7 linked regions of the Nothobranchius furzeri genome follow. Each later gene encodes a partner of the first gene's protein in a complex. Links are inferred from orthologs where the notes say so. Each region holds a gene or a part of one and is shown in the gene's direction. Other genes may lie near its edges.

Region 1 (3,709 bases):
TATATGAGTAATGTATTTGTGTATTTGTTCAGGAGCCCAATGAGGAAACACCCAAGTCCCTTTACCACATCGCTGCTGCCCTGCTTCACCATAACCTAATAGAGCTGGAGGATCTCTACGTGCATGTAAGGAGCAGGAATGCACAGATCAGCAGACATTTTTTAGCAAAGCGGTTTCCAGTCCATGCCTGTGTGACATGCTGCTAGTAGTGTTTTATGGCCTGTTGGTGTGACAACATGAAGGTTTCACCTGCAGTGATCTCTGTCAGATTATTACTTGCTACTTTTCTTTCCTCTTCGCTGTTCCAGCTGATGCCACTAGATGCCACCATCATAGAGGAGCACAAGCGAGAGATTTCAGAGGCCAAGCAGATTGCTCGCAAGCTCGTTATGGTTGTGTTGCCCTCCGAGAAAAGTGAAGACAAAGAGAAGGAGAAAGAAAAAGAAGAAGAGAAAAATGAGAAGGTATGACGGTGCTGAAGCTCATACTGGTTACATATAAATATGGATGGTGGGGGGGGTTGTTTAGACATGTCCCCTTCCTGAAGTGACAAAAGTAAAACCACGTTTGTCTCACATCTGTGTTTACAGCCACCGGATAACCAGAAGCTCGGCCTTTTGGAAGCGTTACTCAGGATTGGAGACTGGCACCACGCCCAGATTATTATGAACCAGATGCCTTCCTTTTATGCTTCTTCTCACAAGGCCATCGCGCTGGCTCTCTGCCAGCTCGTCCACCTGACTGTGGAGCCTCTTTACAGGAGGTACCGATTTCTTTAACGTCTCGCATACTGCCTGCTAATTGTTGCCGGCTGGGCAGAAAACATGGACTAGTGCTGTGCTGTTTCGTTACAGAGCCGGCGTTCCAAAGGGGGCGAGGAGCTGCAAAATGCAGCTACTGATGAACAAACGAGCTCCTCAGCCTGCAGAAAGCTTTGAGGACCTACGGAGGGACACATTCAGCATGCTGTGCTATCTGGGCCCTCACCTCTCTCATGACCCCATTCTGTTTGCCAAGATTGTCCGTTTGGGCAAAGCTTTCATGAAAGAGGTAAAAAAAAAAAATAATAATAATAATGTATATTAGGGTTGTCACGGTATGAAAATTTAACCTCACGGTTATTGTGACCAAAATTATCACGGTTTTCGGTATTATCGCGGTATTTTTTAAACGGTGTTGCATATGTTCAGAAAGCATTGATAGTCCTGTTCTACACAAACTGAAATAGTTTTGAAAAGGTTTAACAGTGTTTATTAAACCTAAAATAACACAAAGCCTTAGCAAAAGTGCAACTTTTCACAAGTAAAGGAACAAATAGCTTATTTTTCTGGAACATGTTACAGTAGTCAGTGCAGGTTTAAATTATACAAATCCAAACATTCAAAACATAAACAATATGTAAACAAATCAAAGAAACACCACTTGTTTTCTCATATACTTGTTTTCTTCATTATCAAAATGAAAATCTAAAACCCCAGTCCACACTTGACTTGAGCACTGTACAAGTCAACCTTAAAAAAATATGTATTTAAAATAAATAGCAACTTTAAACAAATTACTAAAATAACTACTACACTATGTAATCAAATCCAAATGTTCAAGTATAAATGGCATTGAATAAGTAAACAAATCAATGACAAGGAACTAATTGTATATTTCTCTTCATCATCAACAAATAAGATGCTTCATCCAGCAACAGGGCGTCCGTGACACGGTTTAAATGCTGGCAGAGGGCGCTGCGGCTGCAGTATATAGTGACTCGTTGCATTCTCCCTCAGCCAAAAGTCCTCGCGTCATGCATTTAAGCTAAAATGCTAATGTTAACTTACCTTGCACTGGCTGTAGAGACGTGGGTGATGGTCACGCAGATGTGCCATTAGATTCGAAGTGTTGCTGCGTTTTGCAGACACTTGTTTCCTGCACGTTCTGCAAACGGGATAGCCGTCTTCTATTAACTGTCCCTCAGCGTTTTTCAGAAATCCAAAATATGCCCATACTTCCGATTTAGTCTTCTTTGAGGGCTGATGGATGTCCTGGGCGCTGCTGTCTCCTCCTTCGGCCATTATTTCAGCTTCAAAGTTTTGGTGCCGTTGCAAACTAAAAAGTGCGTGTGCGCGCCGCGGGAAATTCAGCTGAAGCGACGGTGGCTGGTAAGGGTCACCGCGCCGAAACCGCGGCCACGGTAAACCCACCGAGATAATTTAGTTTTTTTAAAAACTGGACGGTTATTTTTATTGTCAACTTTTTTACCGGGGTTTACCGCTATACCGGTTACCGTGACAACCCTAGTATATATATATATATATATAGTAAAATATGTTGTAAAACACCTTGGGGTTCTAAGACTCTAGAAGGCGCAATATCAAATACAGATCAATTACCATTTTATTCATTTTTTTGTTGACTTTGCTTGACAGTACCAATCTGATGTCAGACCTGAGCTGAAAGACAAGATGGTAAATCTTCAACCCAATTTCCTCCCAGATAAACTGCCACCCTGACTGGTAAAATAAACTATTCACTTTGGTTCATTTCAGGAGTTACTGTTAAGTTGCTTCCTGAGCATCGCAGACCAGGTTCTGCTGCCGTCCATCTCTGTGATGGAGTGTAACGCCTGCATGTCTGAGGAACTGTGGGGGCTCTTTAAGCTCTTCCCTTATCAGCACAGGTAAACACACACACGCACGCACGCACGCACACACACACACACACACACACACACACACACACACACACACACACACACACACACACACACACACACACACACACAAAGCTGCCAGATTTTAAAAAACCCTCCTGAAACTTCCATGTTTTTGTATTTGTTCTCAGGTACCGTTTATATGGGCAGTGGAAGAATGAGACCTATTCTGGACATCCATTGTTGGTTAAAGTTAAAGCTCAGACTGTGGACAGAGCCAAATATATTATGAAGTAAGTAACTTGTGCAGGATTTGGTCGACTATTAGCACCATTTTCCTCTTTGGTTGAAAGTCAGTCCTGGAGCATCTCAGGGTAAAGTTTTTATGACTTAAACTGTAGATTAGAGCGCTACAATGATTAAAAGGGTTTTGTTTTCTTAAACTGACAGCTTTGAGATTGTTTCCTAGATTAATGGTTTTATTTTTAATCTGCCACTTCTTGTTTTGTTTTGTGTTTGTCTCTTTTTAGGCGTTTGACCAAAGAGAATGTGAAACAGTCAGGAAGGCAGATTGGCAAGCTGAGCCACAGCAATCCCACCATCCTCTTCGATTATGTAAGTGTGTCCTTCTTCCTTTTACTTGATGCTGCTGCAATATTTCTAGTTTTCTTTGGAAGAATGGTGATTTTTAGCATGCAATACCATTTGTTTCAGGCTTAGGAGCTCTGGTGCTTCTGAAAAAAAAAACTTGAATCACACCAGAAAAATAAAAGCAACTTCTTAGAATAACACGACAATTAAATGTTAAGTTTTCGTCATATTTACAGCATCACAGATGGATAATCCATTTATATTTAATTAACCACTAAAATACCAAAATGTTTTAGTTTTAATGAAAAGTGCAAGATAATTTGTCAAACAACATGTTTTGCCCTGTTGCTGCACACCAGATTTACAAAAATGCTCCTTTCCTGTTAATAGTTTTTCAATTAGAATAGCAATAATTGGCCAAAGACAGTTTTGGGATGGAGAAAATGTTCAAAGTGTTGCAATTAGGGGTAGAGGAAT
Region 2 (3,892 bases), on another chromosome or scaffold:
TCCCCCAGCAGAATGAGGGAGTCACTGCAAAGAGCGCTTTCTAGCACCCTCTCCAAGGTCTCCAAAAAGGGTGGGTAGTCTGAACTGTAGTTTGGTGCATAAGCACAGACCACAGTCGGAACCCGTCCCCCCACACATAGGCGGAGGGAGGCTACCCTCTCATTCACTGGGGAAAACTCCAAAGTACAGGCACCAAGATGGGGGGCAACTAGTATGCGCACCCCTGCTCGGCGCCTCTCAGTGGGAGCAACTCCAGAGTGGTAGAAAGTCCAACCCCTCTCAAGGAAACTGGTTCCAGAGCCAGAGCCATGCGTTGAGGTGAGTCGAATATATCTAGTTGGAACCTCTCAACCTCACACACGAACTCAGGCTCCTTCCCCACCAGAGAGGTGACATTCCATGTGCCAAGAGCCAGCTTCTGTAGCCGAGGATCAGACCGTCAAGGTCCCCGCCCTCAACTACCACCCATCACACACTGCACCCGACCCCTTTGGCCCCTCCCACGAGTGGTGAGCCCATGGGAAGGGGGACCCACGTTTCCTCTTCGGGCTGTGCCCGGCCGGGCTCAGTGGGTGAAAGCCCAGCCACCAGGCACTCACCAATGTGCCCTACCTCCAGGCCTGGCTCCAGAGGGGGACCCCGGTGACCCACGTCCGGGTGAGGCAACACGTTTTCCATTTATATAATTCATCATACGAGGTCTTCGGGCTGCTCTTTGTCTGATCCCTCACCTAGGACCTGTTTGCCGTGGGTGACCCTACCAGAGGCAGAAAGCCTCAGACAACTTAGCTCCTAGGATCATTGAGGCACTCAAACCCCTCCACCACGCTAAGGTGGCAGCCCAGGGAGAGGCTATTTTCTAATCCTAATCTAATCCTATTTGATATGTGCCATATATTTCACATATATGTCTGTGAATTTTAAAGACACGTTTTGATGTCAAGAAAGTGCTTATTTTTGAACAGCTGCAAAAGTTTAGGGTTTTGTGTTAAAAGATGTGTACAATGCCTGTCCAGTATGGGAAGCTGGTGACTGGATGCTGAACCATCTTGCTAGACCAGCATTGTATGCTGATCTACCACTAAACCAGCACCAAACACAACATATGCTGTTTTTATGAGCAGGGCTTTGCTCATACATAATTGAGGCGTTTTTTTACACAGCAAAAAGTGATTACAGCATTCATTTTGCCTTTGAAAAATGTATTCTACCGTAATTCAATTTCATCACTTGATTGTGTAATTTGTAATTGATTGTGTGATAAAAAAACCTAGTGGTATTACTAAATTGCATTTAAACTAAATCTCTGTGTCACATAATCACTGTAATCACTGTATACTTAAAATCCACATTATTTAACGAAGATGAAGCGAAAAGATCACAACATGCAGTAACGTCCTCTTACCAGATAAGGCAGTAACGAGCTCAGCTGTGTCTGAGTTGCCTAAAGACAAAAGATCAATCAGTACCAGTAGAACGGAAGTAGTAGAAGAAGAAAAACAGCAACATGGGAGCTGTAACTGATGGTTTGTGGCTTTATCATTAACTAATTTCAGCACTTAAGTTACTCTTTACTTTTGTTTTCGTCTAAGTTTAAAACATTGTAAATTGCGCCTTATTATCTGGAAAAATACCCAGAAATGCTACCTGTAATAGCGACGTTAGCTAGCACACTTAGCATAGATGCATTATGTTTTCAACGCTCTTCAGCTGCTTTATTGCATGTTCCACAGATGAGGTGATTCGAAAACGTCTTCTCATTGACGGTGACGGAGCTGGAGATGACCGCCGAATCAATCTGCTGCTGAAGAGCTTCACCAAGTGGTGCAACTCACCTTCTGGGACCCTAGAAGAAGGGTACGAGCTAGCAATATATCTGTCTCCAGTTTTTGCTTGTAACATCTTGAATGCCGAGTACACAACTGCAGTGAAATGCTGAACATTGGGCTCTTTGTGTGTAGATTCACTCAGTACCAGAGGATGGTGGCTACTCTGGCTCAGTGTGAGTTTTCTATGGGAAAGACGTTGATGGTTTATGACATGAATCTTCGTGAAATGGAGAATTATGAGAAGATCTACGCAAACATAGGTAAGATCGGCTTTGTTTTCAATGTCACAGAATTTTTTGTTAATTCTTTTAGTCATACATGCCAAATGGCCTGTATTTTATAGAGCTTTCTAGTCCTGGAACCCCCCACGGCGTTTTACAACACAACACAATCAGACATTTACACACACATTCACACACTGGTGGTGATGAGCTACATCGTAGCTACAACTGAGCGGGGCTCGAACCTGCACCCTTCTGATTATGGGGCGAGCACTTAACTCCTGTGCCACCATCGCCCAATTAACACTAATCAAACTTTTTTCTTTCGCACCTCGCAGAACAAAACATCACATCTGCACATGAGAAGATCACAGAATGCAAAAAAGAAATTCTGCGTGCCAAGAGAATACGAAAAAATCGCCAGGGTAAGGACATTTTAACATCTGTTGTATTTACAGAAAAATTACCAGATGTGGTATCAAATGTGCGTTGTCAAAAGGATGTAAACTTTTTTTTAAGTATCTGTTCTCTGTCTCTCCAAAGAATATGATGCTTTAGCAAAGGTAATCCAGCAACACCCAGACAGACATGAAACACTCCAGTAAGTCAGCCTATCGATAAAACATGTCAAGCTCCCCTTCATGTTCAATAAAGTGCTCATTTTTGTTTTACCTTCCAGGCAGTTGGAGGCACTCGATAAAGAACTCCAGCAACTGTCTCACATCAAAGAGAACGTAGATGCAAAGGTAAACTCAAACACAGCGGCCTAATGTTGTTAAAGTATCAGATTTAGTTGTATTTTTACTGACTTTTTATGCCATGTTTGCATTCTCTTTAGTTGGAGTTGAGGAAGAAGCAGTTTCATGTTCTTCTTACTACCATTCAGGAGCTGCAGCAGACACTAGAAAGTAAGTAGCCACTTGGTTATACAGACAAACTGTTGTCAGAGCTGCCCTCATCGTCTATCCTGTCTTTCCTAGATGATGAAAAGTCAGATAGTGACGACCACAGTCAGGAGAGTCCCATGGAGAATGGGGATTGAACACATAAAGAGCCCAACTGAAGGAGTCACAGCTTTTAATTGAAATTTAGTTTGTCTAAGAATCCTTTTTTGTATGTATTTTTGAATAAAGCTGTCATCTTGGAGTATATCTTTAATTCTTATATTCTCTTTTCATTAAAATAATCTCAGTAAAAATGTAACCAAAGCTTCCAGGCTTTTAAGAAAATCAACTGAAACTCTGATCAGAAAAGAAATTTAATACGCGTCAGTCAAGGACAGAACAGTTGTTGAACATTCATATGTGCTGTATTTTCTCTGGAAGTTTCTGCACTATAAGTGAGAGTTTGAATACTTGTAAAATCTAAGTGTCATTAAACCCAATTATCATTTTTTTCATACTAAATTATCATTTTTTCATACCAAACTATCAAATAGTTTCTGATTTAAAGTTCACAAAATTACATTCTTCTGAGAATAAGACGTCTGTAACAAGAATTATGGTTTTGCTCATTTATTTAAAAATGAATGCCAAAATTTACTGATGTAGTAAATAAACCACAATGAAAGAAAGCCTCTGACTTCCTATGTGAATGATCACTATGTACTTTGTTGCAAACCCCTGTAAATTGTTTTAACCGAACCATAAAGTCTAGAACAACATCATGCATGCTACAACAGAAAAGGGATTTAAGGTCTAGAACTCTACCAGGTACGCTTGGGCCTGCAGGATGTGCTTTAGTCAACTCTGCAAAGCTGCTCGTTTACTGCCAATGTCAAAGTCCTCCTTCAGCAAGAGCTCCATGTTCTCCTTATCCTGGAGCATCTCTCTCTGCAGCTCA
Region 3 (3,866 bases), on another chromosome or scaffold:
AGCTTCTTCGTGTCTGCCGCTAGTTATCCTCGGCTCTCTTTGCAATGGCGGCGCTGTAAACAACAGCGGCGTCCTGACCAATCACAGGCTTGCGTAATCCGTCTCGTTCGACGGATGTTTAAAAAAGTGGGCTCGACTCCGTACGGACTTGCGTGCCTGCCGGATCCCTACGCAAGGACGGATAATGGCGTTGCGTGTCTCCGCACTGACGCAGACGGAGAAGCATAAATCAGGCTTAAAGCTGTGTTCAGTAGGGAAAAGGGCACAAGTTAGCAAAGGTCTGATGGGTTCTCAAGTCAGAAAGATTCTGTTCTGGTTTTATCAGTGAATTATCATTGAAACCAAACCCAAGCCTGACAGAAGATGCATTTGCTGTTTGGGAAGTACAGTCCTGATCAAAAGTTTAAGACCATTTGAAAATGGCCAAACGTCGTGTTTGTTTGGTTGGTCATTAACAAGGTCCCAAGTAGAGCTTCAATGTGCAACAAAAAAGAAATGGGAGTGAGACAACGATCAAATCGAAACGAGCTGCTTTATAGCTGATAAAAGGTTTAAAGAACAAGTTCACTGAGAAACCATTTTTATGTGTTATTTTTTTAAATGATTGGTCACTCTGAGTTTCACATGCAGGCTGAATATGTGAATAGTCTTCTACCCCTTTTTCCTGCATTAGCCGATAGAAAACAGACGAGGAAATTCTCAGGTTAGCAAAGCCAGTCAGATCTACCTCACAGTAAGTTAACATTCATGGACTCGGCCATCTTGGCTCAAGATGGGGAAGGCAGTTGTTGGTTTAGCATTCAGGAGAGACTAGAGCTTGCCTTGGCTAATAGAAGCTAACTGTTAGCATTAGCTGCTACTCTATACAGTAGAACTCATTCATTTATGGAGGTAAAACATCAATGATGCAAATCAAACAAGGTTAGTGGTAGAGTTGTGTTGCTGTTAGCCAATCAGGGGTGAGATGTCCAAATAGTCTTGTTGTACCCTTAAGCCGGGCGGACACTGTGCGACTTTTTCACTCGTAGCACTCAGCTTCAGCTCAAACTGTACGACTTCCTCACAGAGCAGATCTCACGAGTCGTGCGCTCACACTGCACGACCCAGTTCTCGGATGCGATCTGACTGCTCACGCTGTACGTCTGGTAGCAACACGTCGGCCCTAAAAATGTGCTAAAAATAGCAGTTTTTACACAACACGTCAGACTTTTTTGTCTTGTTTTGCCTGTTGTCCTTCGGGAGTGCTGCAGGGGGACACACAGGGATTTATGGGGGTTGGATGAGGAAAACAAAATAAAGAAAGTAAATCTGTGTTTTGTGATCAGTTTAATTTGACATGAACACGACAAACACGCTTTCTTGACAACCTTTGTGAGTAAAAAAAGTGTAGAAAATAAAAACGAACAACGTGTGTTATTAGGGAAATAGCGGGCGAGCGGTGTTGATGCATGCATGTGCCGTGAGCGGTTCTGGTACTTTTTGGGTCGCAGCTGCTCGCAGCGCCGCTTCAACAGTGCGATACCCTCACGAGGGACGAGCAAAATATTAAACACGCCAGAAGTCTGTGCGAGCTCACGATTGCTGATCGGTAGCTGGTCACGTGGTGTTAATCGCCTCTCGTAGCCCCCTGTACACGACGCTCAGCGCAAAACTCGCCCCGATCTCGTGGATTCTCGCACGAGTGGAAAATCGGCTCAAAAAAGTGAAAAAGTCGCACAGTGTACACCCGGCTTAACCTGAGCTTTCCACTGGATGCATAAGTGACGCGGTTCCTCACGAGCTCAGCGGTGCATATCGTCTCACCGGGAGATTTTCTGACATGAAGCGGCAGTGAATGTGTCACAGCTGGACCCACAACGTTACAAAATCACAGGAAAACGCTAGATCAAGCATGATTTCAGCGGTTCACGTGATAACAAGCATGGAGAAAGATGGTAACGGTATCCTAGCAGGTCTGTGGTGTACTTACTGTTTACCTCAGTCACAGAGGTTTTACAGGTAAATATAATAGAAGCTAAGTGCTACGTACTACGCTTTGTGGACATTTTGTGACGCTCGCGCGTCTGATGGAAAGCTGGGATAACAAGCTGGACCTACTCTTGCTTCGCTTTATTTGTGTTCCTGATTTGTTGCTGTGACCGATCCTTCTGAACCACCAGAGCCTAAAGCAACGTCTGGGGAAAGGCAACATCCAGGCCCGGCTGGGCCGGCCCATTGGGCCTCTGATGCGGGGTGGACCTCCTGGAGGAAGAGGAGGCATGCGGGGGATGACCAGAGGAGGCCTCAGAGGGGGTTTGAGAGGAGGGATCATTCGTGGGGGTCTGTCTTCTCTGAGGGGTAGGTGTCCGTCAGCGTGGAGATGGTAGGGGTGTTTCCTCTCAGCTGAGCAATCACATTGTGTTAAACAGCCAGGCGAATGCCTACAGGTGGACCTATGAGAGGTCGGGGGGGCATCGGACGCTTCCCCATGCGTAGAGGAGGTCGGCATCGTGGAGGAGTGGCAGGAAGAGGAGGAGTTCTGTCTCGAGGAGGAGGTCGAGGTGGAATGCCCAGAGGCCGGGGTAGAGTTTGTATTTATTAGTACAATCGTTTGATGACTCGTGTCTTTTTTTTTTTCACTGTCTCACTGATGATGTTCTGTCTTCAGGCCGTGGTGGACTTCGTGGACGTGGGGGATTTGCTGGTCGTGGGGGCCGCGGCCGTGGGCGGGGCAGAGGACTTGGCCGGCCCACCGTTACAAGGGAACAACTGGACAATCAGTTGGATGCGTACATGTCAAAGACCAAGGGACACTTGGATGCAGAACTGGATGCCTACATGGCCCAGGCAGATCCCGACAGCATGGAGTGACGGCCCAGCGAGACCAGAGCTGAAGACTGGGGCGTAGCGTCAAGTGGTGTTGCTGCACCCTGTTGTTTAGCCGTGCATCCACCTGCTGCTGAAGAGCCAATCAGCTGATGAATAAACTCAAGGGGACTTTGACCCTGATGTCCACGGACTTCCTGTATGAAGTTTTAGTCAAACAGGTGTTTGGTGTAAACTGTTTAGTTTTTCTTAGTTTTTCCTCAAACCTCCAGAGTTTCTTTGGCTCATCTTAAACTTGCAGTGGAAACGTTTTTTAAAATGATAATTTTACAAGAATTTTAAGACGAGTCATTTTCTCTTATATTTGACAGGGAAAGAAGTGCTCAGGCTTTGGGTTGTTTGTATTCCGTGAAGCTGACAAGATGTTTGTTTTAAAATTATTTCCCAAGTTGTGTTAAGGAAATAAAATGATGAATGAGATATTTTCTGATTCATGTCAAACATTTAAGGCCTGTAGGTGTTCTGGAGCATGTAGAAAAGCAGATGTCCTGGTGTGATCTTAGCTTTTGTTCTGCGATTGGTGCCCACAGGGACATGGTTTCCATGGCTGTGTCTCACTGGGAAAACGTCACCAGTTAGAAGGTTGGACGTTCAAACCTAAGACCTACAAACTTCTCTATACTACATCCTGTGAACCATGTGTGTGTGCGCACATACCTAAAGGATTATTAGGAACACCTGTTTAACTTAATGCAATTATCTAATCAACCAATCCCATGGCAGTTGCTTCAGTGCATTTAGGGGTGTGGTCCTGGTCAAGATAATCTCCTGAACTCTTAACTGAAGGTCAGAATAGGAAAGAAAAGTGGTTTAAGCAATTCTGAGCGTGGCATGGTTTTTGGTGCCAGACGGGTCGGTCTGAGTATTTCACAATCTGCTCAGTTACTGGGATTTTCACCCACAACCATTTCTAGGGTTTACAAAGAATGGTGTGAAAAGGGAAAAACATCCAGTAATCGGCAGTCCTGTGGGCGATAATGCCTTGTTAATGCTAGAGGTCA
Region 4 (4,169 bases), on another chromosome or scaffold:
CATCAACAGACATTAAAATGCCAGATTATAGTAGGAATAATAGCCTGGCAAGCCAGACTAAATAAATGTATTATTTAGTCTGGCAACGCTCCATTGACGGCTCGCGGTTGTGGGGCGGGTTCTACCGTTGCCTACTGGACAATGAATGTGACATACTCATGTTTCACTCTGTTGCATCGTCCCACCCACCAGGCATATAGAGTGCCCTGATTGGCCCACAAAGCGGATATAGCTCTGTGATTTGTTCACTAAGCAGATAGAGCACTATGGCTCACCATTATGGACCAATCACAGCTCTTTATGTGTTTGAAACCCCTCTAGAGAGCTGTGATTGGCCAGCCAGAATGCTGTTGGGGCTGCAGAGGTTGCAGTGGAGTGTTGCTAGACCAAACTTTGCAAAGCAAGAATTTGGTCTAGTTCACTAGGCTATAGGAATGCTAAAGTGAATCCTCAATCCCTAGGCAGGTCACATAAAAGCACTATAGACAATATGGGCAGTGGATAACAAAAAGAGCACATCACAATATTTATTACTAATCTAATTTATTACTATTCTATTACTAATATTTATTAGTAACAGATTAAACGGCAACAGTTACAGGACTGATGTGCTTCTAGTTAAGCACTCCCTTATGGAGCGTGAGAGACAGCACCAGATCTACCTGTTGGAGAAATTTTTATTTATTTGTTCTCATTTTACATGATTAAACTTGTTAATACAGAATATCTAGTTCAATTTCCATGTTAGTGTCATCTACTAGTCTATTATGATCTATAAGACCACACAGGTTGCTGGACACAAAAAACTCAAGCTGGAAAACAAACTGAAGACAAATTAAATTTTAGATAAGGACAAAATAGAATATTTGGACTTAATTTGCTTGTGAATATTCAGTAGAAATGTGCATGCAGTAAACTTGTGTTTTTCATTTGAGTCACGTTGTGGGCTTTGCCATGCATGCATTATCTCTCACATATTTTTGTTCTGTATGATGATCACACACCTGTCTCTTTCAACATTCTGCAACTGGCTGTCACACCCGTGCACCCTGATGACAGGGTTCTTCTGAACTTGGAAGTATTTCTTTGTTCGAGATTTAATTCCTGATTTATTTTTTACTTTTGAATAAGTGCTTCTTCCCTGATAATTGAATGCATTATCATTTATTTGATGTATGTTTAGACAGCTAACATCTACCGAAGCCAAAGTCCTTGTAAATGCAACTTAACTTGGCCAATAAATCTGATTCTGATCGATTCTGATATGTCAGAAACAAGCCCTCTCTTTACTACATCTCCCACAATCCTATGCTTGATCATACGTCATATCTATGCGTCTTTCTCCGTCACCACCCGATTCGTTTCATATTTATGTCGATGGTTTCTCCCGCGCTGGCTCCATTGTCCCTTGTTTCTCCGCGACTTTAACGGAACCGGGAGGATTTTGAGGCAGAATGGGACCCGTAGAGGTAAATATTATAGCTATCGCGCACACGCTTCTGACGAAGAGTAAATGTTTTAAAAACCAGCTGCAGCCCTATTCAGTGTTTCTCTTCTTCGTATTATTGTTAAAATCTCATTAAACTGTTTACTAGGCAAACAAACATATATGAGGTATGATTTGTACAGGTTTTAACTTATTTCTTTGCTGGCGGAGATTTTATTATTTAGGAAGAAACATTCAAGCTTTCAAAATAACGATGTTCTCTGATATCATTAAACATTTATAAATCTGAAAGTGTTACAGATATTATTGTAACCAGGTTCAACCTGATGTTAGAGTCTGTTTTTAAGGTAGTTTGAACTGATTTGATAATCCGTTTCAGGAAGACACATTTTCCGGGCTTGGTTTCTCCGTGTCACGTGACATGTTCCCACCAATGACCATGCGCCCTTGGAAACAGCCATAAAACCCGCACACATCCTCCCGACCATGTCGATGCTCCCGACGCGGATCTGAAAACAGCCGATATGATCGTTCATGTGTGTCTGATGTTGTTTAAATAAGGATTAACTCGATCTCTTCATGTCCGCAGCTCCTCCACATGTCGGTTTTCTCCCAGAGCTTTTCTCCCTGCGGACGCTTCCTGGCGGCCGGAAACAACTACGGAGAGATTGCCTTGTTCAGGTGGGACAAACCAGCGAAACTGGTCTCGCCTTTCACCAGTCTGAGGTTCACACCTGCCGTGTTTTTGTTTCAGCTTGGCTGCAGCTCTAAGTCCAGAAGCCACCACCGCTAGCCAGAAGCCTGTTCTGACGTTTACAGGTGAGTCCTCAGAGAAGCTCTTCAATCCCACCTGTGCGCATTCCGAGGAGTAACCAGAGCCGGGAGACCTGGAGATGGACTGTCCAATCTCAGGGGCAGTAGTTGCTGAGGTAGTCAAACGACTACACAGCAGCGGAGCCCCGGGGGCGGATGAGGTTCATCATGGGTATCTCAAGGCTATGGATGTTGTAGGGCTGTCGTGGTTGACACGCCTCTGCAACATTGCGTGGTCACCGGGGGCAGTTCCTGTGGAGTGGCAGACCGGGGTGGTGGTTGCCATCTTTACGAAGGGTGACCTGAGGGTGTGTTCCAACTATAGGGGGATCACACTCCTCAGCCTCCCTGGAAAGTTCTACTCCAAGGTACTGGAGAATCTCAGATAGAGGAGGAGCAATGTGGTTTTCGTCCTGGCCGTGGAACTGTGGACCAGCTCTATACCCTTGCAAGGGTGATGGAGGGGGCATGGGAGTTTGCCCAACCAATCCACATGTGTTTTGTGGATTTGGAGAAGGCTTATGACCGTGTCCCCAGGGGCACCCTGTGGGGGACGCTCCAGGAGTATGGGGTGGGTGGCTTTCTGTTAAGGGCAATTCAGTCCCTTTACCAGAGGAGCGTGAGTTTGGTCTGCATAGCCGGTAGTAAGTCGGACCTGTTCCCGGTGAGGGTTGGACTCCGCCAGGGCTGCCCTTTGTCACCGGTTCTGTTCATCACTTTTATGGACAGAATTTCTAGACGCAGCCGTGGTGTGGAGTGTGTCGAGTTTGGTGGCAGGAGAATCTCGTCTCTGCTTTTTGCGGATGATGTGGTCCTCCTAGCTTCATCCAGCTCTGACCTTCAGCTCTTGCTGGGTAGGTTCGCGGCCGAGTGTGTGCATAACTGCAGACGCTGAGCCGATCTGTCGTGGTGAAGAGGGAGCTGAGCCAGAAAGCCAGGCTCTCGATTTACCGGTCGATCTACGTCCCAATCCTCACCTTTGGTCATGAGCTTTGGGTAATGACTGAAAGAACGAGATCGCGGATACAAGCGGCCGAAATGAGTTTCCTCCGTAGGGTGGCCGGGCTCAGCCTTCGAGATAGGGTGAAGAGCTCGGACATTCGGGAGGGACTCAGAGTAGAACCGCTGCTCCTCCTGATCTAAAGGAGCCAGTTGAGGTGGTTTGGGCATCTGGTCAGGATGCCTCCTGGACGCCTCCCTGGGGAGGTGTTTCGGGCATGTCCTGCCGGCAGGAGGCCCCCGGGTCGACCCAGGACACGTTGGAGAGGTTACATCTCCAATCTGGTCCGGGAACGCCTTGGGGTCCTGCCGGAGGAACTGGTGGAGGTGGCCGGGGAGAGGACGGCCTGGAGCTCCCTAGTTGGGATGCTGCCCCCGTGACCCGGATAAGCGCAGGAAGACGACGGGGGCCCAAGGCGAACACAGACATGAGGCCCCCTAAATTTTCGACAATCTTATCTTTAACTGGATTTGTGAAACTTCCCTCTTCTGACATGAGTTATTTTCACTTTTTATTAGTCCTCCTCTTTTTTCCTGTCTTTCTCTCCCTATGAGTGCTTTCTTCTTCCTGTCAGTGCTCCTGTGTCCTTTCTTTTTTTTCTTCTATTTTTTCCATTTTGGTCTGTTTTCCTCCCTTTAAACATTTCCGATTTTCTTTCCTTTTCTGCTTCCTTTTGATGTTTACATTGAAAAACAACGTCACTTATGGAAGTGAAGATAAAGGCTTTTTTAAAGCAAGCAGCATCTTTCTCTTATTGGAGCCACTAGGATAACTCCATTTCATGCTTCATGTTTTGACTATCGCTTAGAATTTGTTGCGAACGCTCCCGCCTCTCTTCTTCTTCTTATTTGTGGTCTTATGGCACTTGGCAAACAACAATTTGGTGCATTACCGCCACCAACTGGATTG
Region 5 (3,709 bases), on another chromosome or scaffold:
TTAAAAACACATCTGTAATAATTAGAAACACGTCTGTAATAATTAGAAACACATCAGTTGTCTGTATTATGTTCTTTACTATTGGAGTGAACACTGTGTTTGAGTCTTTTGGCTATTCCTGTGTTTGAAAGACTCCTGAACTTCTGGCTCCTTTGGTCTTTTTTTTACAGATTTGTGTCCCATTTACTTTCTGTCTTCGTCATTTACACAGAGCATAGTCTCAGCGTGGTGTCCCACAATAAAAACTATCCCTGTGAAACAAGTAACTACTCAGCCTTAGACTTCCCCTTGGTTTAAAAGCGCTGAGTCTAATACTTTAGTAATTTAATGAATTGTTTCAGCCCAATAAACCAGCAGCATGTCGTCCTCAGACTGAACTAGATCAGTCACAAACTGGACTTTTCCCACAGATGGATCATTTTAAAAACCCTAAAATCATCCAACTGAGTCATTTCTAAGTTCCATTCAGGCTAAACTCCAGTTGTGTTCAGTTACACAAATGTAGGTTGTTTTCTTATCTTGCTGGTTTCTTTGGGTTCGCGTCCAAATGTCCTTGTCTTGTGTTTTTATTTGCAGAGGAAGATGTGGACTTAGACGATGTGCTGGCAGAGGACACGGCGGTAAAATGATTGATTATATTCTGACTATATTCTGTAGTCTGTTCTCTTGTTGTCAAAGATGTAGATTTATATTTGCAAAGGAAGACTTAAAGTTTCTATTTTCCTTTTAGGACTTCACTAAAGTTGAGAGTTCCAACACGGTGAAAGTGGACGAAGACACTGAAACGACTGCGAGTGAGATGTAAGTCCTTTAAATTTCATTTATCAATTTAACAAAGACGACCGGCGGGTTTTAGAGGTCCTCATCTGTGCCCCAGACAAGCTGGTTCCCAAAGTCAGAGACTCTCTTGGTCAGCTTGCTTCTCACACCAAACCCTTTGTCAGGAATCTTGATGTGACCTTTGACCCACCCTCTCACCCTGGATTCTCATGTCAGTTTTTTGTACACCCTTCAATTAGGGCTGAACAATTAATTGCATGTGCAATTAAATCACGATGTGACAAAATTAGATTTTCTAATCGCAAAGGCGATTTGACTGGCAGTGAGTGTTTAGCACAATGCTAATAAACATGGAAAAACCCATAGGGATGCTAATGCTAATATTGCTGATTACATTCTTACAAATTACAAATTAGGAACATGCCAAATGATTACATTTGAAGTCTAATAAAAAGTAAAAACTGCCATCAATCAAATAAGTACAGACAGATATTTTAGGAAAGCTAGAAAACTGTAAGAGACTTTAACTCCACTGAGCTTTGGCTAGCAGCTATGGACTTAGCTGAACTATGGAAGCTCTGCATGGACAAAACGCCAAAAATTCTAAACACAAAAGACTTCAGTAAACGGGACACACTTCTTTCCTGCAAATACATTCTCACAGGTGTTGCTAATACCTATGCTCCTTCAGGGGATGTGCTCCTCGCTGCAAAGCATCGCAGCTTCAAATACAACATTTTGTCTTTACTTGTGCTTATGTAAACTTGTTTTTATTCATTACAAGTCACATAGATTTATTTTGCGTCCGTTGGTTGAAAAATATGAGAAAAGCCCCTTGAGAAAATAATCATGAATTAAATTGCAATATTGAAGAAAAAAATCGCAATTAGATTATTTTCCAGAATCGTTCAGCCCTGTTCTCCACACCTTCATCTCCTCACGCTTAGACTACAGCAACTCTCTTTTCACGTGTCTGAGCAGAACCTCCCTGAACCGTCTGCAGGTGGTTCAGGACGCCTGTGCTCGGCTTCTGACTAAAGCTGCTTTCACACTGCATGCAGAACACATGCGGTCTGGTTTCCGCACGGCTTCTGCGTGGACCAGAACTGCTCGAGTCCAATCAGAGCATTCAAACGTGCTGCAGTGTAGTGCAGATTTGGATGCGGAGCACCGGAAAATTTCCGTATGAAGTCTATTCTTTCAGCTAGCTGAAAGAGTAGATAGTGCTTGTTCATTGGTTCTTCCATGTGTCGACTCACAAGTCTCAGGGGTCAGATTTGTTGAGGTATCTGCTCACAGCTGCATCTCCTGATTTAGTTACACCCATTTCATAATATTTCCTCCTTTCAGACCTGCTGAGAAGAAGGTGGTGAAAATCGCTCCTCCATCATCTGCCAGCGACGTATGTATGGCATGTTCTCACACGGGGAAGCCTTTAATCCAATTTTAATCCAACTTTAGCATCAACAGGATTATTATGTCTGTTCTGAAGTAAAGTTTCTGCACAACAGTTACGAATATTCTCCATCTGAACAGCCTCTGTGTGGAGAAATGGTGTTTCTAATGGGAGTGATGACCTAACAGCTAGTCTGAGTGCAGCTAAGACCAAAGTGTTTTAAAGCGACAACGTGTAGTTGTTACCATTAATCTCAGCTGTTCTTACTTAATAAATCAACTTTTATTATCGTTAAGTTTAAACTAAATAATTATTTGGGCAGAAATATAAAGGAAGGACGCACCTGAAGTGCTGCTGTTGGTGATTTTTAGACTTGTGAATGACCACACACCCAGCTGAAAAACCGGAATGTAAAATCAATGTTTTATGACATAAATTCATGATTTGCTGCGATGTTTAGAAGATTAGAGATGGTTTTAGATAACGGTGGTTTGTTTAAACTAGCCCTTAGCCTATCAGTCCTGAGGGAGGAAAATGCCATTTCTCTGTATAGAGGCTGTTCAGGAAGCAAAAGCAGTTTTAAGTAACTTTTACACAGAATCACACGAGGTTACTTTAAGGTCTATGGCAAACTGCAGAGGGGTTGGTTTTATTTTTTAGGTATCGCTGGTCTAACTGTCCAGCTGCCAGCAGGTGTTTGTCTGTTTGTTTGTTTGTTTGTCAGCATCATCTGCTCTGATTTTAAACAACTGGATTTAAATCTAAAGTACTGAATTGTTTTCCACCAGCAGAGACTACAGAAGAGAGCTGAGCGCTTCAACATGCCAGCCTCAGCTGAGAGCAAGAAGGCCATCCGTGCTGCGAGGTGAGGCTGAACACACACACACACACCACACACACACACCCCACAGGAGGATGTGTGGGTTTAGATCTGTGGAGCGTCCATTTGCATCTATATTTATTTTCTGTTGTTTTTATCTACTTTTAACTAGCCTGATTCAATAGTAGATTTGGGCTGTTTTTCATTAGAAATATTAAAAGATGCTGAGTAAGGAAGACATAATGCATTCCTTGAATGAATGCAAAGCCTCTAATTTAAATATTATCCCTGATGTGACTGGGAACACTGAAGGATTTGTTCCCACACTTCCACTGCAGCGGGCATGTGTCATAACTCTTTATTAAATGTTATATTTATATTAATATGGATCTGATCTGCCTTGTGTGTGCAGGTTTGGTTTACCTACTGATGCTACCAGTCCCTCTCCAGGTACTGACCCGGCTGTGTTCATAAATGCTAGAAGCAGAGTTAATAACCAGTAAAAGAATAACGTGATCCTGCTGTAGGTGATGAGGTTTGCTGATGTTTTCTCTCCCTGCACTCCTACAGGGGCTGTTGCCAACAGTAAAGCTGCAGTAAGTCCTGACGAGCAGATGGATCTTTAGATCCCCGGCTGGTGGAGTCCTGATGGGTTTAACGATTAATTTATGTCCTCTTTAGGTGAACCTCGATCAGCTGAAGAAGAGAGCAGA
Region 6 (4,468 bases), on another chromosome or scaffold:
AAGGCAGAGGAGAACAACATTGTCTTCATGCCTTTAGTGGGAAAACGGCATGAGGGGAAACAGCTGTACACATTTGGGCGTATTGTTATCTTCATAGACAGGGGTGTTGTGTTTGTGCAAGGAGAGAAGACCTGGGTTCCCACATCTTTGCAGAGCCTGATCGACATGGCAAAGTGAGCTCAGACACACTCATCATTTAGTCTGCTAAGTCTGAAAAGAGTAGCAGAACTGTTTTATGTATTAAGAGGATTTCAGTATAATTTGTACAAGTCTGTAAATTTGAAACACTGTCAAACTGTGAATAAACACTTATGTTACTTATGTTGTTAGACTGATTGATTTCAAAGTAGAAAATTATATATTTAGGTCCTGTAATTTTTAGTTTGATGCAAGTTTGTTCTAGATGGGTATCAAATGGTGCTGCATATGTAACTATTAGAAATTAACTTCTGATTGTACGTGATGCAAAAAAACTTACAGATGTTCCACTTAAGAATTAAGTTTATTGCCACAATACAAGGTAACAATCAAAAGAGTGAAAAATATGAACAAAGATCTATGCAAATAGATTGCTCTTATAGGACTGAAACACTGTGCATCGTGTCAATATGATAGATCTATAACTGCTTTATGAATACATTTGCATTAAATGGAGAATTACACTTACAAAGAAAATAACTAATATGGAAAAATGTCTGCAAATTTATAATATTACATTTACATTTTTGAAATGACTATTTGTGGAATTTCTTAAAGTTACAGTAGCTTTTAGGACAGTAGGTCGCGCTGTGTCCTCCGTTAGCGCTAAATGCAGTGCTTTTTGACTCTTGGGCTCTAGATATGAGACCCAGAGTGGCGCCGCCATATTGGATGGGCCTCCACTTTTTTAAATATTATCATTAAATTCTTATTAAAATTTCTCGTGAGACAACAACACATAATAGAAACATACAAGGCATCTTTAGTAACAATAAAAGAAAAACAAATAAACTTAAAAAGAGGTACTTATATCACAAAGTAAAAACATTGTTACAAGATTAAACATTTTTCGGCAGCATGACAAATGGCTTTTGCAGTTGCATTTGAATTTTTTATACGAGTCAAAGTGGATAAGAACATATGGAATTCATTTGTGAAACAGTTCTTGTTGCCTCCTCACTCTAAAGTCAATCCAGAGTTATCAACTATGCCCGGCAAAAACATCACGTGGATTTACTAGTGCCTTTTCTAGCCTACCTGATAATATTTTTTATTTTATTTTTATTTATTTCGTTTAATTATATTTATATTTTAATTATGCCATACATTGTGTCTGATTTGGTTAAAAAGCTTGATATAATGTGTTTTTAGTTGGGTAAGCAGCAACTTCATCAGTAGATGTAAATGCACCGCAGGCGAATGGAGACCCATCTAAGATGGCAACCGGGCGCTACGGCAGCTGAAATAGGCAGCGCCTGTCCTTGGAGCGTCTACGATTACGTATGTCTGTGTGTTGGGCTTCCGTCCTAAATCGACAATTTGTATGTAGAGGGAGTTCTCGTTTTTACGTGTACTATTCTATCAAGTAAAGACGTAAGTTTGGACCAAGTGAGTATTTGTCGGAAAACATACTATTTATAACCACAATGAGCGCATAATATCCGTCAAAATATTAGTTCTATTAGTTTAGTATACCGATGTTAGCTACAAGCTAACGGTTATTAGCCCGTGTTAGCTTGCATGCTAACCGTATGTCATTGTTACTAAAGTGATGTTTTCATCGGTGTTTTTTTATCGGTCTAAAACTCTTTATTTTCACATTCTAATAGCCATGTCTTCCGACGTTCTTAAGAAGCGGAAATCGAAGGTTCTCCGCAGTGAAGCAGGAACCCCGGAGGTGAAGCGGGGACGTGGAGAGGCGGACCAGCAGGTAGACAGAATCACTCAGAACTTTGTAAATAAGTGGTGTCCAATCATGGACATGTAGGCCCACTGTCCAGCATCTTTGTTTCAGCAGCATCTAGTTTGAATGAATGGATAGTTAGCATGCCTCTGTAAACTTGAAAACACGAATCTGTTAAACAGCAGTGGATTTGAGCAGGGAGATAACTAAAACATGCAGAATCGTGGCTCTCAGTGACCAGTATTGGACTTCATTGCTGCGATGAATTTACTAATTGAAGCTTTAATTGTACTTACTGTTGAGTTTACAAATATACAGAACATTGGCAGTTAAAAATGTCAGAGTTTGCACATTTTATTTTATGTGATGATCAATCAAACAGGGACATTTTCTGCCTCTCAGTTCACGTCCTACAGGTTCCTTAAAGTCAAAGTTATAGTTTTTATAGGTGTTTGAATATTGAATTGCGGTTAATTCATCCACATAGTATTACACAAGGTTAAATCTGTTTTTGTGGTAACAATTGAACATCTCATGTTGAACAAGTTCACAGGAATATTCACAGCACATTATGTTTTTAAACACTAGGTTGCATGTTAGCAACCCAAAAACAATAGTGAGGTAGGTGTGTAATAACTTTAGAATACTATGAAGTAGTATATTATTGATGGTTTTATTATTGCATGCTTGTTTCTTTTCCCAGGATGTTCGTGTCTATAATGAGGAGGTGGAATTGGATGGCAGGAACCCTGAACAGGACTTTGATCAATACAAAGAGTCATGTGAGGCTTTATCCAAACTCATGAGTGAGATCCAGAGGATGAAAGCCTCTGGTGCCAAGGAAGGGGTAAGAGCCATAATCTCTACAATACATCACAGCAGTATACAACTTTCCTTTAGTTTCTTTTTCAAACGTTTCCTTTTCTGCTGGAAAATCTCTACTAAACATCTGTTCCAGATGTTTCTTTTATTGACTTTTTCACATGCCATATCAAAGCTGTAAGATCTGAAGTTAAGTGTATGGGTATGAAAGTAAATATCCATATATATATATACATAAATGTTTCTTTTTAAGAGTATGGATGTCGAGCAGAAACGTATGCAAAGCTGCATCCTCTTCATGAATCTTAAGAAGCTCAACCGTCTAGCTCACATGCGACTGAAAAGAGGCAGAGACCAAACACATGAGGTAATTTTCACAAGTCTACTTTTGAACTGTGGAAAAAAACTGTTATAATTTAAAATGTTTTGTTTACTTTCTGGAAAGTGTTTGTTTGTTTTGTGCTGATTGCAGGAGGAATGTTTAACAAGAGGCACCTTTTTCATTTTAACATTCAACCACAGTGAAGGCTACAGTCAATGTGCAATACCAGTTTAGTTTTTGTGTTCTTTGTTAAGCTTTGAGTGTTTTACTTCAAATTTGATTTACATTCATTAATATGATCAAATGCTGAGTTTTGACAAGCATGCATTTATTATTTTTTAAAGGGTTATTTTTTTTGTTACTTTACAAATTTCATTGGTGATTACTTTTTCTGTTTCCAGGCTAAACAGAGAGTTGATGTGCTCCACCTTCAGCTGCAAAATCTGCTCTATGAGGTTATGCATCTTCAGAAGGAGATCAGCAAATGTCTGGAGTTCAAGTTAGTACTAAATTCTTTACTTGACTTCAGCCTTTAGTTTTTTCAACACTTTTTATTTATAATTTAAGATGAAATAATCAGTTTTATTAAAAGTGTTTAAGGATGTAACAACATATCTCTATAAGAAACCACTAAACAATTTGTTTCTTTTTAATTTAACATTCTCAGCACTACTTGAAAAGTATCCTGTCATGTCTAATTAAATTCTCCGTCTCTTAACAAGATCTAAGCATGAAGAAATTGACTTGGTGAGTGAAGAAGAGTTTTACCAGGATGCCCCGCCGGAGATCTCCAGGCCTTCTCTCACAAAAACCGATCCCCACCAGCTCACACTAGCACGGCTGGACTGGGAGCTCGAACAGAGAAAGAGGTACAGAACTTTACCACGAAATAGTACACATTTGTACTATTGTGGTTACTTTTTGCTGTTCGGTGTAGTCTTTGTCTGGCAGAGAGCAGCTGATTAAAGTATTTTTTGTTGGAAACAGGCTAGCTGAGAAATACAAGGACTCACAGGCCACAAAGGAGAAAATTCAGAAGAGCATTGAAGTGAAGAAAGAGCATCTAAGAAGCTTGCAGCCAGGACTGAATGCTATCATGCAGGTAAAAATAACAAAAACAGATTTTTAATGAAAATTTTACGCTTCCAAGTGAAACATGTCCGCTTTAAGATAGTAGGAGGTTGCATATGATTGCATACAATATTTTATAAATGTAATTATATGTTTCTACTTGGTCATCTTTTATCACTGTGTTTTATTTAGATTTTATTTATCAGCTGTTAATGTTTAATTTGTTTCTTAACTGTTATCTTAGTCTCATTAGTAAACTAGTGTTTCCTCTGTGGGGGCCGGCTGCCCCGGGGGCAGCGGTGGACTGTGGTGGCCGGGGTGCTTCATTTGCCTACTCTTACCAAGGCTATTGCTGCCAGTCTTGGTGCTCC
Region 7 (4,465 bases), on another chromosome or scaffold:
AACATGTTTTATTGATACTGAGTAAATTCTAAAGGCATTTTATTTTTTATTTATTTCAATTATTAGAGGGGGCTATCCAAAATACGTGGAGAAGGTTCTGTCCTCTCCCTTTTAAATCACACTAACTGATAAACTATGTTATTTGGAAAGCTAGGTTGAATGTTTCTAGCCGGACCTGTAAAAGTAAGACATGTCTGACAATGTCAAGTAGGCTCAATGATCTCAAAAGCAAATGGTTGATTGCAGTTATTACAAATAGGCATGCAGTGCCAGGTTTTGGCTGCTTTTTCCCTTGAAAGATCAAATAATTGTTTATCTGAAGTGTTTTGCAAAATTTTCATATTTTAAAATTTTCTTGAGCCAGTGTGTGCTAAAACAACCCTGTACAGGGTTAATGAAATGTCACTCAGACCCCGACCACCCTCTATGGCCAGAATGTCGCACTTGCAACTTCAGAGTTGGACTTGTGGAGCTGACATGCCTGGTGCTGCAGTCTGCTTCCTGCATGTTTTAGATCATAAACACTGCTGGTTTGGTCAATTTAGTGATGAGCTGCTCCTGTAGAAATTAAGGAAGGATGGGGAGACATTATTATGGATTAAGGTGTTTAAAAAGGTGAATGCACAGTTTCACTTTTGGTTTTACTAACAGAACACTAGGGGCTGCTAAAAGCAACCCAAAACTGGTTAGTTGTGCAAAAAAAAAAAAAAAAAAAAGCAAAAGTTTAGAAATCTAAGGGGTCAGTAGCCATCACCAGTTCTGTGTAACTGCTTAAAGAGCAAGTCACCCCCTACCAGAGTATTACTCCGCTCCCACTTCCTGTTTGAAAAATGCAACAAATTCTGTTGCCTAGCAGACCAAGAGGGCGGGCCCGCTAACAAATACACACACACACAACGACATTGTGACATCATATGCTACCAGCTAACGTTCTAGGGTACCCCTTTGCCAATAACGATGGCAGATTTAAATTCAAATGCAGTGCAGAGTTTTTACCTGACAACGGCACAACACTCACAGTTTTAGGCAGAAAATTTAAATTTTAACTTAAATGCACAAAAGTGCAAAACTACACGTGTCTGCAGCACGGTTAGATACGCATTTATATAGTTTATCAGAAAAAAGTTGATCTGGGAGTGTCTTGCTCTTTAAACACTTAACTATATTATTTTAAAATCCTTGACTTTGTGAAAGTTTCTTTTAAGAATTGATGATTGATGTGGTTTAGTTTTTCCCGGTTATTTCTTCAGTTTACAGTTTTAGTTTCGATCAAATGTTATATGTCATATTTGTCAAAAAAATATTTATTTATTTGTTCTGTATTTTACCACATCTGTGTAGAACTTTTGCACAATTCGCACATTTTCCTGTCAAGGTTTCTTTTAGATACATGCTCCGCCCGGTTCCGCCTCATCGTCGACAGTAGAGGGGATCACGTTCACGTACTCACGTCAGGCTTACGTAGAGAACGTCGTGTTCTACTACTTGTGTTTAGCAGCTGCTACAAGAATCAGACACCGTTGAGCCTTGAAAGGGACAGGGAGAGGGACCGACCGTGTCTAGGGTGTAACATTCTTAATTTGTTCAAAGTTTAGCGTTATTGGGGCAGCAAAATGACCGATAAGATGGATATGTCTTTAGACGACATTATCAAACAGAGCAGGCAGCAGAGAGGTGGAGGCCGGGGAGGAAGAGGCCGTGGCCGCGGAGGCACAGGCAGCGGCCGGGGTGGAGGCGCTGGGCGACTCGGAGGCGGCGGCGGAGGCTTTGGAGGCCGAGGCGGTGGATCCGGCCCCATGAGGAATCGACAGAACCTGAGTCGCGCTAGAGGCAGACCTACGCCTTACAGCAGGGTATGAGAATGTTAGAGGAATAAGCAGAGAAATGTTTTCATATTGTGTCCCTTCTCCCGCAACCCAAATGTGTAACGCACGTCGAGCTTCAACAGCCTACGGAAGGAGTGGAGGCCCTCAGCGCCATTTTGAATCCAGCCCCGCATTGTGAAGCTAGTCGTCAGTGAGTGCTCAGTGAGAGGTATCCTGGCCACGGTGGTGAAAGAAACCCACTTCGTCAAGAGTATCACTCGAAAGTGTGTTTTCACTGCTTGTCGGAGCGGGATATGTGCTCAAGTTCCCGCCAGCGCAGCGACCAGGCGGCCTTTTGTTCGGGGAGTGGGTTCTCAAGCCCTCTGGTGGCTTTTTCTACCAGTTTGCCTGTTACTTGTGGATGGAAAAGCGGACTTTTACTCCTCTGTTAGTGCCCAAACAAAACCGGTTCTTCGTCTTTTAAAGTGTGATCGAGTTGGTAGCGAAGCCAAACAAAGCCCCAGTCAAAATGGCGTGGTTTCAAAATGGACGCTCACGCAGAGGGGAGATCTGGCCATTTTCACTCCTCATCCAGCACACGGACTCTTCCCCTACTGAGAACTGTTCTGAGGTCCAGGACACAAAGTACCAGCGCTGGAGACGCCGCTGCATCGAACAGGAGTCCCCGAGTGTCCCGAGGAGCTGGCTTTTCTGGAGGGAGGCGCAGATGGCGAGAACAATGGGCATCTCTGGTAGCTAGTCTGAGGAGTTTTACAGGTTTAGCATCAAGTCTGTGGGTTTGGGTTTAAGAAATATCTGTGATGGTAATACTTAGGTTTCTGGAAAGGCTCGTTAGTCTATTCTAGGGTTTATTTCACTAGAAACCCAGAACAGGACTGTTGAGTTTTGTTTTTATGGTTTTGTTTTTAATCCATTTACTACATCAAACTTGGATCTAAAGAATACATTTTTATTTTAAGTGGGCTTTAATGGGACCATTTTTCTTTAGACAGTTGATTAGAGTGATTGAAACAAGTGGCTCCCAGATCTTTTAACTTCTGATTTACAAGATCTGTGATTAAAAACCTTCATTATTCATGACGGACACGTACAAATAGCCAATAAGACAATTACATTAGGACAGGAAGATGACTCCATCCACTTTCACCAAGACTAAACGCTTGTCAGTTGGTCTGTTTAGATGTTTTCTCTTCATATATGTCAATTATTTTTAAATTTGATAATCTCAACATTGGTGTCCTGTCCTAACTTTGGGAACCAGTGAGTTTGAACTAGGGATGCACCGATACGATACTGGTATCGGCACCGATACCAATACCAGTATCGGTGAAAGTTAACCAATACCAGGAACCGATACCAATGCAGTTGCTTGAAAATGGCTTCACTGTAACTTGTCATTTCTGTTCACCTAATATTTTAGTTTTGTGATGATTTCCATTCATATATTTTACTTTTTATCTACCTCACAGTCTTTTCCTGTTGAAAGCAGAGAAGAAAGTAAAATCTGCATTCCAAATCATTGCATTTTTTTTTTTTTTGTGTGGTAGAAGTATCTGTATTGGTATCGGCGAGTACTAAGATCGGTTTGGAAAAAAGTGGTATCGTTGCATCCCTAGTTTGAGCATGTTTTTACTAACTTAAATCAGTATGGACTTTATTGTGATGTTTGTACACATTCCGATTTAAGATGGCCCAACATTGGTGTGTTAACGTTTAAAAAAGTTCAAAATTTGAATCGAAGCGAGACTACTACAAATCCCCTTGCTTTTGAGTATTTGTGTGCACGTCCCTTTGAGCTGATGCACTTGCTCGTTGTGACGGGGTGGGCAGGGAATACTGGGGACCCCCCCCCCTCTAAAGGGAGCTGAGCACCATGTTGGAAGTGGAGCCCCCTGCTTGCCCCAACAGCCAGCCGTGTGGACTCAGTGATGGGCAGAGGCAAGGGGATCCTGAAGTCAGCAGGTGCGTTCTCTTTCATCTGTTGCAGCCTAAACAGCTCCCAGACAAGTGGCAGCACGACATGTTCGACAACGGCTTCAGTGGCTTCAATGGTGCTGCTGGGGGTGGCGGGGGAGCTGGTGTGGAAACTGGAGGGAAGCTCCTCGTCTCCAATCTCGACTTCGGTGTTTCCGATGCAGACATTCAGGTACTCCAAAATCCGCGCTTCACTGGTTGGTTGTGTTTTATGGCTTGTTGCTGTCTTAGACTAATCTTGGATGTACTTTTTCAAGGAACTTTTTGCGGAATTCGGAACTCTGAAGAAAGCTGCAGTTCATTACGACCGGTCGGGAAGAAGCTTAGGAACAGCAGATGTCCACTTTGAAAGGAGAGCTGACGCTCTAAAGGCCATGAAACAGTACAACGGCATCCCACTGGATGGTACGCTTCAGACCTTGTTTACATTTTTCTGGTTTGACATGACTAAATAATTCAAACTTTCTTGAGTGTTCAACCCCCTTTGAGCTGATTTATAGTGGATCACTTCCTCTCCTCAGGGCGACCTATGAACATACAACTTGTCACGTCACAGATTGACACACAGAGACGGCCGATGCAGGGGTAAGTTAAATGTTTATCTGATTAAAGCATTAAAGATTGGGTTGTGGTGTTAAATTATTTTTACTGTCTCAGGCTGGGCA

The links.
Region 2: thoc2 (region 1) and thoc7 share a complex: the UniProt entries of both Homo sapiens proteins name them as parts of the transcription/export (TREX) complex. The link is inferred for Nothobranchius furzeri from reciprocal best matches to the Homo sapiens genes THOC2 and THOC7.
Region 3: thoc2 (region 1) and chtopa share a complex: the UniProt entries of both Homo sapiens proteins name them as parts of the transcription/export (TREX) complex. The link is inferred for Nothobranchius furzeri from reciprocal best matches to the Homo sapiens genes THOC2 and CHTOP.
Region 4: thoc2 (region 1) and thoc6 share a complex: the UniProt entries of both Homo sapiens proteins name them as parts of the transcription/export (TREX) complex. The link is inferred for Nothobranchius furzeri from reciprocal best matches to the Homo sapiens genes THOC2 and THOC6.
Region 5: thoc2 (region 1) and sarnp share a complex: the UniProt entries of both Homo sapiens proteins name them as parts of the transcription/export (TREX) complex. The link is inferred for Nothobranchius furzeri from reciprocal best matches to the Homo sapiens genes THOC2 and SARNP.
Region 6: thoc2 (region 1) and thoc5 share a complex: the UniProt entries of both Homo sapiens proteins name them as parts of the transcription/export (TREX) complex. The link is inferred for Nothobranchius furzeri from reciprocal best matches to the Homo sapiens genes THOC2 and THOC5.
Region 7: thoc2 (region 1) and alyref share a complex: the UniProt entries of both Homo sapiens proteins name them as parts of the transcription/export (TREX) complex. The link is inferred for Nothobranchius furzeri from reciprocal best matches to the Homo sapiens genes THOC2 and ALYREF.

Annotation. Positions count from the first base shown.
Region 1 is NC_091750.1:48,368,638-48,372,346, forward strand, and holds part of thoc2 (THO complex subunit 2), read left to right. Parts: intron 1-32; coding exon 33-125; intron 126-308; coding exon 309-464; intron 465-590; coding exon 591-763; intron 764-854; coding exon 855-1,050; intron 1,051-2,417; coding exon 2,418-2,456; intron 2,457-2,537; coding exon 2,538-2,668; intron 2,669-2,832; coding exon 2,833-2,934; intron 2,935-3,171; coding exon 3,172-3,256; intron 3,257-3,709. UniProt on the Homo sapiens protein: Component of the THO subcomplex of the TREX complex which is thought to couple mRNA transcription, processing and nuclear export, and which specifically associates with spliced mRNA and not with unspliced pre-mRNA.
Region 2 is NC_091743.1:56,272,551-56,276,442, reverse strand, and holds thoc7 (THO complex subunit 7 homolog), read left to right. Parts: upstream 1-1,420; 5' UTR 1,421-1,507; coding exon 1,508-1,526; intron 1,527-1,733; coding exon 1,734-1,857; intron 1,858-1,961; coding exon 1,962-2,089; exon of another isoform or gene 2,090-2,388; coding exon 2,389-2,475; exon of another isoform or gene 2,476-2,593; coding exon 2,594-2,651; exon of another isoform or gene 2,652-2,729; coding exon 2,730-2,796; exon of another isoform or gene 2,797-2,888; coding exon 2,889-2,958; exon of another isoform or gene 2,959-3,030; coding exon 3,031-3,092; 3' UTR 3,093-3,196; downstream 3,197-3,892. UniProt on the Homo sapiens protein: Component of the THO subcomplex of the TREX complex which is thought to couple mRNA transcription, processing and nuclear export, and which specifically associates with spliced mRNA and not with unspliced pre-mRNA.
Region 3 is NC_091751.1:23,238,845-23,242,710, reverse strand, and holds the end of chtopa (chromatin target of PRMT1a), read left to right. Parts: intron 1-2,159; coding exon 2,160-2,337; intron 2,338-2,408; coding exon 2,409-2,561; intron 2,562-2,647; coding exon 2,648-2,850; 3' UTR 2,851-3,285; downstream 3,286-3,866. UniProt on the Homo sapiens protein: Plays an important role in the ligand-dependent activation of estrogen receptor target genes. May play a role in the silencing of fetal globin genes.
Region 4 is NC_091745.1:30,134,736-30,138,904, reverse strand, and holds the start of thoc6 (THO complex subunit 6 homolog), read left to right. Parts: upstream 1-1,323; 5' UTR 1,324-1,454; coding exon 1,455-1,469; intron 1,470-2,036; coding exon 2,037-2,128; intron 2,129-2,201; coding exon 2,202-2,266; intron 2,267-4,169. UniProt on the Homo sapiens protein: Component of the THO subcomplex of the TREX complex which is thought to couple mRNA transcription, processing and nuclear export, and which specifically associates with spliced mRNA and not with unspliced pre-mRNA.
Region 5 is NC_091755.1:36,673,291-36,676,999, forward strand, and holds part of sarnp (SAP domain-containing ribonucleoprotein), read left to right. Parts: intron 1-576; coding exon 577-620; intron 621-730; coding exon 731-801; intron 802-2,130; coding exon 2,131-2,182; intron 2,183-2,964; coding exon 2,965-3,041; intron 3,042-3,408; coding exon 3,409-3,446; intron 3,447-3,566; coding exon 3,567-3,592; intron 3,593-3,677; coding exon 3,678-3,709. UniProt on the Homo sapiens protein: Binds both single-stranded and double-stranded DNA with higher affinity for the single-stranded form. Specifically binds to scaffold/matrix attachment region DNA. Also binds single-stranded RNA. Enhances RNA unwinding activity of DDX39A.
Region 6 is NC_091757.1:44,994,356-44,998,823, reverse strand, and holds the start of thoc5 (THO complex subunit 5 homolog), read left to right. Parts: upstream 1-1,472; 5' UTR 1,473-1,587; intron 1,588-1,808; 5' UTR 1,809-1,810; coding exon 1,811-1,909; intron 1,910-2,585; coding exon 2,586-2,729; intron 2,730-2,957; coding exon 2,958-3,071; intron 3,072-3,427; coding exon 3,428-3,525; intron 3,526-3,748; coding exon 3,749-3,895; intron 3,896-4,013; coding exon 4,014-4,128; intron 4,129-4,468. Other genes in the region: tfip11 (tuftelin-interacting protein 11), read left to right, coding at 1-177. UniProt on the Homo sapiens protein: Component of the THO subcomplex of the TREX complex which is thought to couple mRNA transcription, processing and nuclear export, and which specifically associates with spliced mRNA and not with unspliced pre-mRNA.
Region 7 is NC_091752.1:50,607,408-50,611,872, forward strand, and holds the start of alyref (THO complex subunit 4), read left to right. Parts: upstream 1-1,486; 5' UTR 1,487-1,613; coding exon 1,614-1,853; intron 1,854-2,117; exon of another isoform or gene 2,118-2,350; coding exon of another isoform or gene 2,351-2,557; intron 2,558-3,813; coding exon 3,814-3,972; intron 3,973-4,057; coding exon 4,058-4,205; intron 4,206-4,321; coding exon 4,322-4,385; intron 4,386-4,457; coding exon 4,458-4,465. UniProt on the Homo sapiens protein: Functions as an mRNA export adapter; component of the transcription/export (TREX) complex which is thought to couple mRNA transcription, processing and nuclear export, and specifically associates with spliced mRNA and not with unspliced pre-mRNA.